Xenopus tropicalis: one gene and its partner. The protein of the gene in region 1 purifies or fractionates together with the protein of each later gene. This does not show direct contact. Links are inferred from orthologs where the notes say so. Each region holds a gene or a part of one and is shown on either strand. Other genes may lie near its edges.

Region 1 (5,742 bases):
AATCTCAACCTCATCAGCGATTAAGAATAAGAAAAAAAAAAGCCGGTGTCAAAAGGCAGCACCAGCATCTGGCCTCTGGTCGCAGAAATTTGTATTACTGACATTTTAGGTATGCAGTTCTGGGGTGGGGGGGTTGTAAAGTCTATGATAAATTAAAGACATATAAATTAAAATAAATTAAATACAATTCATAAGTATTATGGGAATATTCCCAAATCAATAGTGGAGCCAGGTGCGTTAGCAGTATATTGGTTGGGCTCCAAGCGAATTTTTGCCGATTTTTCGCGATTGTGCGACTTTTTCGTACGCTTGCGTGACTTTTTAAAAAAAAAAATAATTTACCATTACTCGATCTGTGAAAACTGGGCATCTGAAGCTGTAATGCAGGGGTGGCCAATACGTCTATCGCGGTCTACCAGTCGATCCCCATGGATTTCTGGTGGACCACGATCAAGCCGGGGATGCCGCATTCCGCATCGGTCCGGTCAATCATGACCTCAAAAAGTCTGGCCACCCCTGCTGTAATGTAATTTAACTGCTACATAACCACGTGGACTACCTTTCAAGGTTCAGTTGAGCTGTTGGGCTAGTATTTACATTGTATGTATTGTCATTTAAGAAAATCTATAAAATAACTAATTTCTCTGTCATACATGTTTTAAATCCATTTTTTAAACTTTTCAGTAAAACTTTTTTTAAAGGAGACATCCTATAAAAATTAAGAATGTACCAGTAAATTATACTCCTCTAGATATAGAAGGATTGTGCTTAAAAAAGTTGTGTTTCTGGCTGATTTATTGAGAAATTCCCCCAAAACCTCACTAGTCCCGCCCATCCGTTCCATTTCCTGCTGGCTGAATTCTCTGGATGAGCTGGGGAGCTGGCGGCTCTCAGTACACTGCTCTGTAGGATAGGAACCAATCTGCAGCTAGGCTGACCTGATAGGGAACTGAAGCCTGTCTTTGCTTGTGTGACTGCAGGGCTGTGATTGGCTCTCCCCCTCCTACTGTGCTTCTGGCAGGGACTGTTAGGACACACCCACTCTCCATTTCAAACTTGGACAGAGAAGTGATATGATCTATAGGGAGCTCCAATAAAGGGGCCATTGTTACAGACAGGATTAATTTTTAGCACAAAGTGAAACCAGCACCATATATTTTTCATAATTGCCTACAAAATTAAGGTTTTTACCATTTATCCAATATGTCTCCTTTAATAGAACAGTAAAACCCTAATTTTACATATCCCAGGGGAAGGCGTCAAAACAGCTTAAAATCTGGAAAAATTTTAAATTTGGGGGAAAAAATGACACCACTTGCCTGTATGGGGCCACAAAAAAACAGCGTCAGTTCCAGGAAATCTTAAAATCCTGGTATGTAACCCCAATTGGGGTTCTACTGTATTTGCTTTTTTATGTTATTTAATAATAATTAACTACACCTATTGTATTTTAGTTCAAAGAATGTGCACAGGGGGCCCCTGAGGTCTGGTTCTCTGGTGGGCCCTTGGTACCCCAATCCAACACTGAAGTTACTGATATACTGTATAAGCCTAGAAAGAACACTGCAGTGACCTTTTAATTAGAAATCTTAAAGAAAAATGAAATTTTATTTATACAGCCACACAATAAAAATTATTACTTTACAGTAGAACCCCCGATTTACATTTTCAGGAGAGAAAATGGTGTAAAATCAGGGGAAATGTGTTAAAGCAACTTATTCTTCTTCATGTACTTAAAGGATATAATTACTGGAGTCAGTTTTACTTTAAAACGTAAAATTTTGGGGTAAAATCAGGACAAAATTTTGGTGTCAAATCTGGGGAAACACAGTGACTACAAATTTTGGTTAGAAGTCTAGCGAAACAGTGTAAATTCTATCAAAAGCACCCAATACAATATAAATGTCACAAAGAAGCGCACAAAAACTTAAAACCAGGGGATATGAGATTAAGGTTTCGCTTTTTTATTATATTCGCTCATATTTCGTTTATCTGCTGGATCACTGAGCTGAACAACAACCAATCGTAACGCACACGTGCCAAAGCGCCATTGCTGGCAGAGGAAGGAAGGAACTGGAGTAAGCAGGAAGTGACGTGCGAATTGAAGGCGGTGGAAATCAGAGTGTGTTCCTTGCTATTCCCGGTCACACGTGTCTGCCGAGCGCTAGTCCGTAAGTGCTGCAGCTATCGGTGGACTGACGGCGGGCCAAGATGCTGGTGCTGTTCGAAACGGCGGCGGGCTACGCCATCTTCAAGGTAATCCGTGTCCGGTGGGAAGTATTGATGCTGCTAGTGAAAGGGAGAGCTGAGCACATGGTGGGGCCATTAGCAGGCCACATGGGCAAGCGCTTCACTGTAGCGCAGCTTTAACCTTTGTATCGGGTTTCCTATAGCTGAACGTTTGAATAACATTAATTTGCAACTTTGTAACGCGTGTGCATATTCTAGCTACATTGTATTTATTTTAGAGGAAATATTTTAACAAAGTTTGATTTACTTGTTTTAGAAGTACGAACTACACTACATTACTTGTCTGCTGGAAAAATGCATACTTTTATGAATGTATCGCAGTCAAGTATATTGTATCCTCTGCTTATTTATAATGATATTTTTGGCTTTCTATAGTTGCCCCAGGGAACTCCAGCCAATGTGATATCTTTGCAACACTTTGTCTGCTTTGTTAATTCTGTCTAAAACCAATGTAGTAACTAGAACATAATGGGCCCCACAGCTAGATCAATTTAGGGCCATCTAAACTTTAGAAACAAGACATTTTTACTAAAATAATAAAAGGAATATCAGTTACTGCCCTACTTTGCCTCTAGTGCCTCATAGCAGCCACAGGTTCTGATTCCTTACCTTACTGCCATGACTAAAACCTTATCATTTTTATGAAATTATTTGTACCAATTCCAATAATTTAAAACTATCTGCTGTCTTGCAGTCAGATGTATGCGAAAACTGCATAGTTCAACAGTTCCCTGATAAGGTGCTCATTTGTAGTGGAAAAAAAATATTTGCTACAAAAGCACCTGTAATTGTGTTATGCTGCCAGTGGCATATTATGTTCCTCATATTGGTGGCTTCCCAGGAAAGGCTTAGGTGCCAGGCGAAGTTGTCCACATTAAATATTTGCATGTATGCTGCTAACCAAAACACAACAGGATGCAATTTGGCCTGTATTTGCACACCTGTCTAATACAGTGACCCCCAACCAGTGGCTCGGGGACAATAAGTTGCTCACCAACCCCTTGGATGTTGCTCTCAGTGCCGCCAAACCAGGTAGTTATTTTTGAATTCCTGACTTGGTGGCAAGTCTTGGTTGAATAAAAAGATTTACTACCAAATAAAGCCTCCTGTAAGCGGATAGTGTGCATAGAGGCTGCCTAATAGGCAACTACAGTCCTTATTTGGCACCTCCATGAACTTTTATGATGCTCGTGTTGCTCTCCAAGTGTTTTTACATTTGACAGTGGCTCACGGGTAAGAAAGGTTGGGGATCCCTGGTCGAATACAATTGGGGTGCTTTTCGCATTCAATTCTCTGCTGTAACAGAAGAGCATTACTGGTGGCAGCTGCTGTAACTGCAGCTCAGGGCTTCTGCATGTTCACATTTTTTTTTCTGTTCTCAGCCTGGGATGTTAGGGTTCATTTAATCATGTGTCACTTAACTGAATAAAAAAAATAAACAACCATGATTTAATAATTTAAAATTCTTTTCCCTTCAAAGTGTCTAAAACCATTTCTCTTTACAGGTTTTGGATGAGAGTAAGCTGCAAGAAGTAGACAGCATATGGAAAGAGTTTGAAACACCAGAAAAAGCAAATAGAGTGTAAGTTCTAATAACTGTGCACTGCTGAATTGCATTGTCTAGCAATTTACATTTTTGTTCCTTTCAAAGATATTAAGTAGTTTATAAATTGGCAATATAATTGTGTATCAGCGCCACCTACTGGTCAGTTCCTCTGACTGTAAAATCAAAGAGATGCAGACAATGTAAGGTTAGGTGATACCTAACTGTGTAAGTAAAAATTGCAAGCTTTCGGAGTACCTAGGGTCCTTCGTCAGGCAAAATACAAATGAAAGCTGGGAAGGGACAGCATGTATACTGTTAGATCATTGAAATAGGTTCATGGGAAATAAATTAGGAAATTACAGATAGAGATAACTTGTAGACATAAGAAAAGTAATTAGGATGGGTTCTAAATAGGATATAAAAAAAATAATCCCTCTTTAAGTAGCGTTTAGTGAAAAGAGTAAGGATTACTTTAATTAAAGTTTCTGGGTAACATTTCAGAGGCTATGAAAACTGGGTCTGATATATTTTCCATATTGCCAATGATGGATCCTTTGTTGAACTGATTACTTGTGATTTCATTCAACAATTCGTCACTACCACTGAGGCAATACTTAAGTGTTACGGAAAATTAATTCTTCCGTCTGAATTGGTTTTACTTGGTTTGAGTCCAGGGCTGAAGCAAATAAATTGGTTGGTAGTCCAGGCAAGTTTAAAGTTTTAAATTGCTTTTGTATAATTGCTTTTTGTGTGTGATCTTTAACTTTGTTTAAAGGCGGACCTGTTATTGGTCCACTATAACACACACAGTGCTAACCGTATAGCTTGAAATTTGTAAAATATTTCTGTATTGCAGGGTGAAATTAAAACACTTTGAGAAGTTTCAGGACACAACAGAGGCATTGGCAGGTAAATATTCTTCATATGCTTATCCCACTCTGCCACCATATTTTCATGTATGAAAAACATGCTATACCTGCAGTATTGCTAAATGTCACCTATGATGGATAAATGTTGATCTGAAACAAAATGATTTTAGATTCAACTCTTCGTCACTACCACTGAGGTGATGACAGGTTTATTAATTTCTGCAGATATTGGTGAAAGGATGTTCATTTTTAAATTAGCAATTAACAAGATAAGACACTGCCCCTTTTAGCTAAGTTTTTATATTGTCATAAACTATGAAATTAATTCTCTTACAATTTTATCTTTAGCTTCCACTGCTCTGGTTGAGGGAAAACTCAGTAAAAATTTGAAAAAAGTATTAAGAAAAATTGCAGCAAAGGAGGCTCATGAGCAACTTGCAATTGCAGATGCAAAGCTTGGGGGCGTCATCAAGGTATTTATTATAAATCAAGTGTGTGAGTTACAATAACAAAATTATAAAGGCCAAAGGAGTCAATGCATTTGCGTAGATTCATTCATATTTGTGCATTACACCTACGCTTTTCTTTGTCTTGAATTTTTGTATGTGATCTTTTTGAATGAAAGAAATAATCAATGTGCATTTAACAGTTTTGCATTTGCAGTTTGATGTGGATGAATTAAGTTAGAATAATGAGAGGATGAGTTAAAAACTAAATATTCTTAAAGTATTTCAGTGCTTTAAGAAATTTTAAAACTTTAAAGAAATTTAGCATGTTTCAGAATTGTAATACTACTATTTGCATTGAAGTACAAGGCTGCTAGGTATTTGCCAGAAAGTAAAAGTAACAAAACACTATTGCATGCAGCTGTTCAAGTTCTCTGTACAGTTTCCAATCCAATGCAAGCCGCCATATGGCTGCTCCAGGTCATAGTGTGTAAAAGCACAAATACATTATGCAAAGCCTGAGTGTCCTGCTTTGACAGTGTTTGCAGTATTTGCTTTTCTGTGCCAACAATTCCTAACATTGGCTTTAGACAGCTTGCTGTGGTAAATAATCTTGAAGTGAATTTTGAGG
Region 2 (4,814 bases), on another chromosome or scaffold:
TTCCTATAAAGCACTTGTAATTAAACCTTTTTCCAAGAATGTCAAAGCTTTTTGGATTCCATCATATCAAAGTTCAAACATGTCTCTAAATGTATTCCCTCAAGTTTATTTCCATGCCCTTTCCTGTTCTACTGCTACTTCTATATCTTTTAATACACTTTCACATTTTTACTTCCTCCCACTTAAATACGCTTACCTTTTAAATGAACACATCTGGTAACCCTTTTCCAAAAAAGCCATGTTGAGTCTGAGAACTCTGAATTAAATTTGTTCTTGCTATCTTGCTTCCACCAACTATGCACCTATATTAAGGACAAATTTAATTACCCCTAAAGCATGCCATACAAATGGTCTAACCAACAACCATAAATACTAACAGCACAATATGGGCATTATTCAAAACCATAAGAACAAACACCCACTCACTAAAGCAAAACTGTCAGTGTGAGTATTAACACTCCCATTTCAAGCAGGCCTGTATGATAAAGTGGTGAAAATCTGTAACATCCCAATAAATACAAGTAGACTTCACATGTATATTTTTATTAAAAATACATACAATACAAGTCAGTGTAATGAAAATAAATCTTTCAAGATCCTGTTTGACACAAAAGCAATTCAAAACAACTGCAAATGTAAAAAGTAAAAAGAAACTGATGACAGCTCAATATAGTCCTCAGCTACAATTGCTGTTAAATGTGTTAACTCATAAGACTTCACTCAGTTGTGCTGTTGTAACTTGGCTCCAGCCAAAGATACAAAACTCACCACTGGTTTTCTTCGAAAGCTACTAAATCAAACAGTGTGATGAAACGCCTTACAGCTCTTCTGAAAGGGAAGGTGAACATACAACCATCAAATTACACCAGCAGCCTCTCAATAGACTGCTGAAGAGACTGGATTTGAGGCTTCAGCTGGGAACCTTCCTTTATGGTGACTGCACAAGCAATCACTGGCCTAGAGACTCCACAAGCTCTTCCAAGTGCTTGCTTGGAGCGCACAAACACATAGGGGACATTCTTGTCTTCACACAGGAGTGGGAGGTGTAGAATAATTTCCAAGGGTTCTGCATCAGCCGCCATGACTATAAACTCAGCTATGCCTCTGTTTAGGGTTTTTGTAGCTGGAAAAGAAAACAGCGTGTGTTATCATCAAGGACACTTCTGATATATTATACTGGCTACTTTGTGTAAACAGGGCACTCACATTTAGTGTGTATGGTGTTAAATAAAGGCAAAATTAGCCCCAGCAAAGAATTGCTTCTATGTTCTGAATTAGACAAGCTAACTGGTAATATAGTAATGTGTACATAATAGGTTTTTAAAGCTTCTTTGTTCCTTGTATCCACTATACAGCACTACAAAACTGATGCTTTAAAAGTCAGCTGCTCAGCCACCACAGCTTGTTATACTGTAACTTTAGAGCAGTGCAAACCAGATGCAGAAACCAAGTGTGTCTAAAGCGTTTCATTGCAAGAAGGGTTAGTTTTTTTCAGGCTGCTGTAACTACAAAATTGCTATGATCTAGGGCAAAGACAAAAAAAACCCAAAACAAAACCGTGATATACCATGAATATCAAGTCCTTGGATGGACCTGCAAGTTTCCTCTGTATTTCTATAAATGTCCTTTTAATAAGGACTGTCTAATGTATCTTAAATGGGGCTGCTATGAGTTAAACCTGATCTTAGGGACCAACACAATATAGAGAATATATATATATAATGTAAAAGTTACAATATAAGGCTGTTTCCTTTTACATCCTGATTCACATTACATGGCAGCCCAAAAGCCAATGTATTCTGCATAAAAAAAAATTAATGGGGGCATGCATGTAATGATCAGCATAACGGTCTCTAACACATGATATTTTTCCGTATTTACTACATTACAGCTTACTGTTTGGGCATGTCTTACCTTCATTAGCACCCTTGCGAAGCTGCTTGTAATTAGCGGCTTGCTGAACAAGATCCAAAAGGGTTTTTGTGAGCTGGGCATCTGCAAGTGGGTAGGCTTTAGGGTTCACTTCTGGTTCAGTCTGAAAAAACAGGATTAAAAAAAAAATAGTATTCTATGAATTTAATTCAGCAATGCCAATATATTCAGCAGAACCATCCAAAAAGGGTTGAATAAGTGTGGCATGCCGACAAGTGGGAATAAACTACCCTCTGTACCATAGAGAAAGTATTATGCATGCCAGGCTATCCTTGAAAGCACCTACTGGGGGCTACATAACCCCCGGTGCAGAAGTTACAGGAGTTTGTGTCCATGTGCTCTTAATAACAATTCATATGTTAGGCCATTATGCCCGATTTGGTTTAAATGAAAACGCTCAAAATGAATCATACTGATATAATATTACTGATCAGCTATAAACCAACGCACACAAGCGCTGTGGTACAGGCAATTTCACACCTCATCGCCAAACACAGCACAAGGGCATGGAGAGGCACATAATGCAGCCATCACCACGTGTACTGGTAGCCAAGCTACAGAGCAATAATGGCCGAATGGGCACTAAATATACACAATCACGCACCCTGAGGCTCCCTTGCCTGTGCTACTTACCATGGCAGCGCTTGGTGTTTATCCGTTCAGTGGATCGGTGATGAAAGCTTCTCCTCTCAGCCCGCAAGCCTCACGGAGGATGATCGAATGGACCTAATGGGAACTCCGCAGTGGCAACGTGTTGTAGACTTCCGGCAAAGAAGAAAACCGGATGGGGCGGGACGTCCCTCAGTAGTCTCTGGGTTGCGGCTCCGGCAAAGACGAAAACCGGATGGGGCGGGACGTTCCTCAATAGAGAATGGGTTGTAGCGTAATAGGATAGTTATAATCACGTGGCTGCTGGCAGGGAAAGGCCGCGAAAGGGGCGGGGTTGAAGCGGACCTGAGTTAAAAATCGGCTTATTAGTTAGGGAAGGTTTATTATTATATGTGTTATTCTCTGAATTAGCTATTACAACAATAATTACGTGTCAGTTAAGCATATATTTGGGGAGAAAATCGTAGTTGCTCTATTAGATGCTTTATTTGTTAGTGGGGAATGTAAGTGGTGGCGCACAGAATGTTCTGCTGACAGGTATAACACGCTGCTTATGGTGTGAGACTTGTGTACAACTGGAGGCTTTCATTCAAGGTAGTGCGCGTTAACCAAAAGCCATTGTAAATGAAAGTTAGTGATAGCAATAGACTAAGGTGCCCATACACTATAAGATCCACTCGCTTGGCGATGTCGCCAAGCGAGTGGATCTTCACCCGATATCCTCACCTACGGGTGGGCAATATCGGGTAGCAAGTGGCTTGAAAAAAAAATAATCCGATCGTTTGGCCCTGGGGCCAAATGATTGGATTACATTTGCGGCCATGGGGCAGTCGGTTCGGGGACCGCATCAACGAGCCGATGCGGTCCCCGATCCGACCGGATTTTCTGACCTGGCCGATCGATATCTGGCCAATTTCAGGCCAGATATCGGTCGGCCAGGCCGCTCTGTTCTGCCCATACACGGGCCGATTAGCTGCCGAATCTGTCCATGGGACCGATATCGGCAGCTATAGTCGGCCCGTGTATGGGGACATTAAACAGCAGAGAGTGGCTTATAGATAGAGGCCCATACTATGCATTGGATCACTGGGGAATCCTCAAGCCCCAGCACAGAGCACTTCCTTTCAAGCTTCAGTTGTGCCAAATGTACATATCAGATTTTTAAAAGGAGACAAGGGAGCTCCCTTGACATCATGCTTTTGATGAATAAAATGCTTTTTTAACTATAATACCTCCCTAAGGAAGTTTGTTTTGGTGTGCAGGGCTTATATGGGGTTTTATTGGTATATTTAATCCTCTTATGGGGGGGATTGCTAAAACCCTAGCACATAGATATTATATACTTTACATTTGTATTTTTTTGTGGTTAAAAGGCAAGAATATTCTAGCTCGGAGTGCCCTCTATTATCCTAAATTCCATCTCCTTCACTCCTCTCAGAGTCTCTGTTAAACATTACTGTTAAACATTTAACTACAAATTTTTAAAAAGTAAAAAAAAAACAAATAACTACTTGTCCAGGAGTATTTGGACATCACTGCCAAGCTTTGTCAGATAGCAATAATCTCCTGGAAGCAGTCAATGTATTGTAAGTTGGTCTGAGTGCCCTCCTCTTTGGTGATCACACCTTTTGTTTGCATTGCACACTCAGACCGACTCGCTGGCTCTTGCTGCTGTGGAGCTGGGTCTGGTACCGGTTCAGCCATTACCACCTCTGCGGCTGCCCATGCCTCCTCCGGCGCGTCCGCTGCCACCTCCTCCTGCTGTTGAGGCACTGCGTTGTCTCCTGCATGAGAAAGCTACATAAGTATTTTTATCTCCCTCCATTAAAGGCATGCACAGGTTAGCAATCAGATCAGGAACATTAGTTTCTAGGCATAAAAAAAACATAAAGAATCATGATTTTAAAATCCCTCATCTGGCAGAGTACAGATGAAAACCAATGGGAGTTTAGCCAAAAAGATACACACAGAGCAAACAGCTACAATTAACATTTATGTTAGTGGCGTCCGACTACAGAGTTTACTTTTGGCCCTAAAGTGCAAAAAGAAGCATTTGTTTAAATGAGTAACAAACCGATCATCTTGCAGAGCTAAGTGTCTTTTAAAAAAAAATCTAAGAAAAAGTTACACATCCACGTACTCACCATGTTGCTCCTCCAAGCTTCGCTGGATTGAGCTAACCAGGTCCGGACTTCTCCTTTTCACGTCGGTCCATACTCGCTGTATGATGCTGAGAGGCATCCTGATTGCAAATCTTCTGATCAGTCCCCGAC

Evidence for each region. Proteins that work in one complex are often made in the same cells at the same time.
Region 2: the proteins of nop58 (region 1) and snu13 fractionate together in Homo sapiens (co-fractionation; 3 studies listed by BioGRID and IntAct, with this or other methods). This does not show direct contact. The link is inferred for Xenopus tropicalis from reciprocal best matches to the Homo sapiens genes NOP58 and SNU13.

The regions. Positions count from the first base shown.
Region 1 is NC_030685.2:52,324,044-52,329,785, forward strand, and holds the start of nop58 (nucleolar protein 58), read left to right. Parts: upstream 1-2,095; 5' UTR 2,096-2,211; coding exon 2,212-2,256; intron 2,257-3,755; coding exon 3,756-3,832; intron 3,833-4,325; exon of another isoform or gene 4,326-4,414; intron 4,415-4,652; coding exon 4,653-4,705; intron 4,706-4,783; exon of another isoform or gene 4,784-4,873; intron 4,874-5,013; coding exon 5,014-5,138; intron 5,139-5,742. UniProt on the Homo sapiens protein: Required for the biogenesis of box C/D snoRNAs such as U3, U8 and U14 snoRNAs. Part of the small subunit (SSU) processome, first precursor of the small eukaryotic ribosomal subunit.
Region 2 is NC_030680.2:113,913,366-113,918,179, reverse strand, and holds snu13 (NHP2-like protein 1), read right to left. Parts: upstream 2,674-4,814; 5' UTR 2,569-2,673; coding exon 2,566-2,568; intron 2,036-2,565; coding exon 1,915-2,035; intron 1,124-1,914; coding exon 861-1,123; 3' UTR 528-860; downstream 1-527.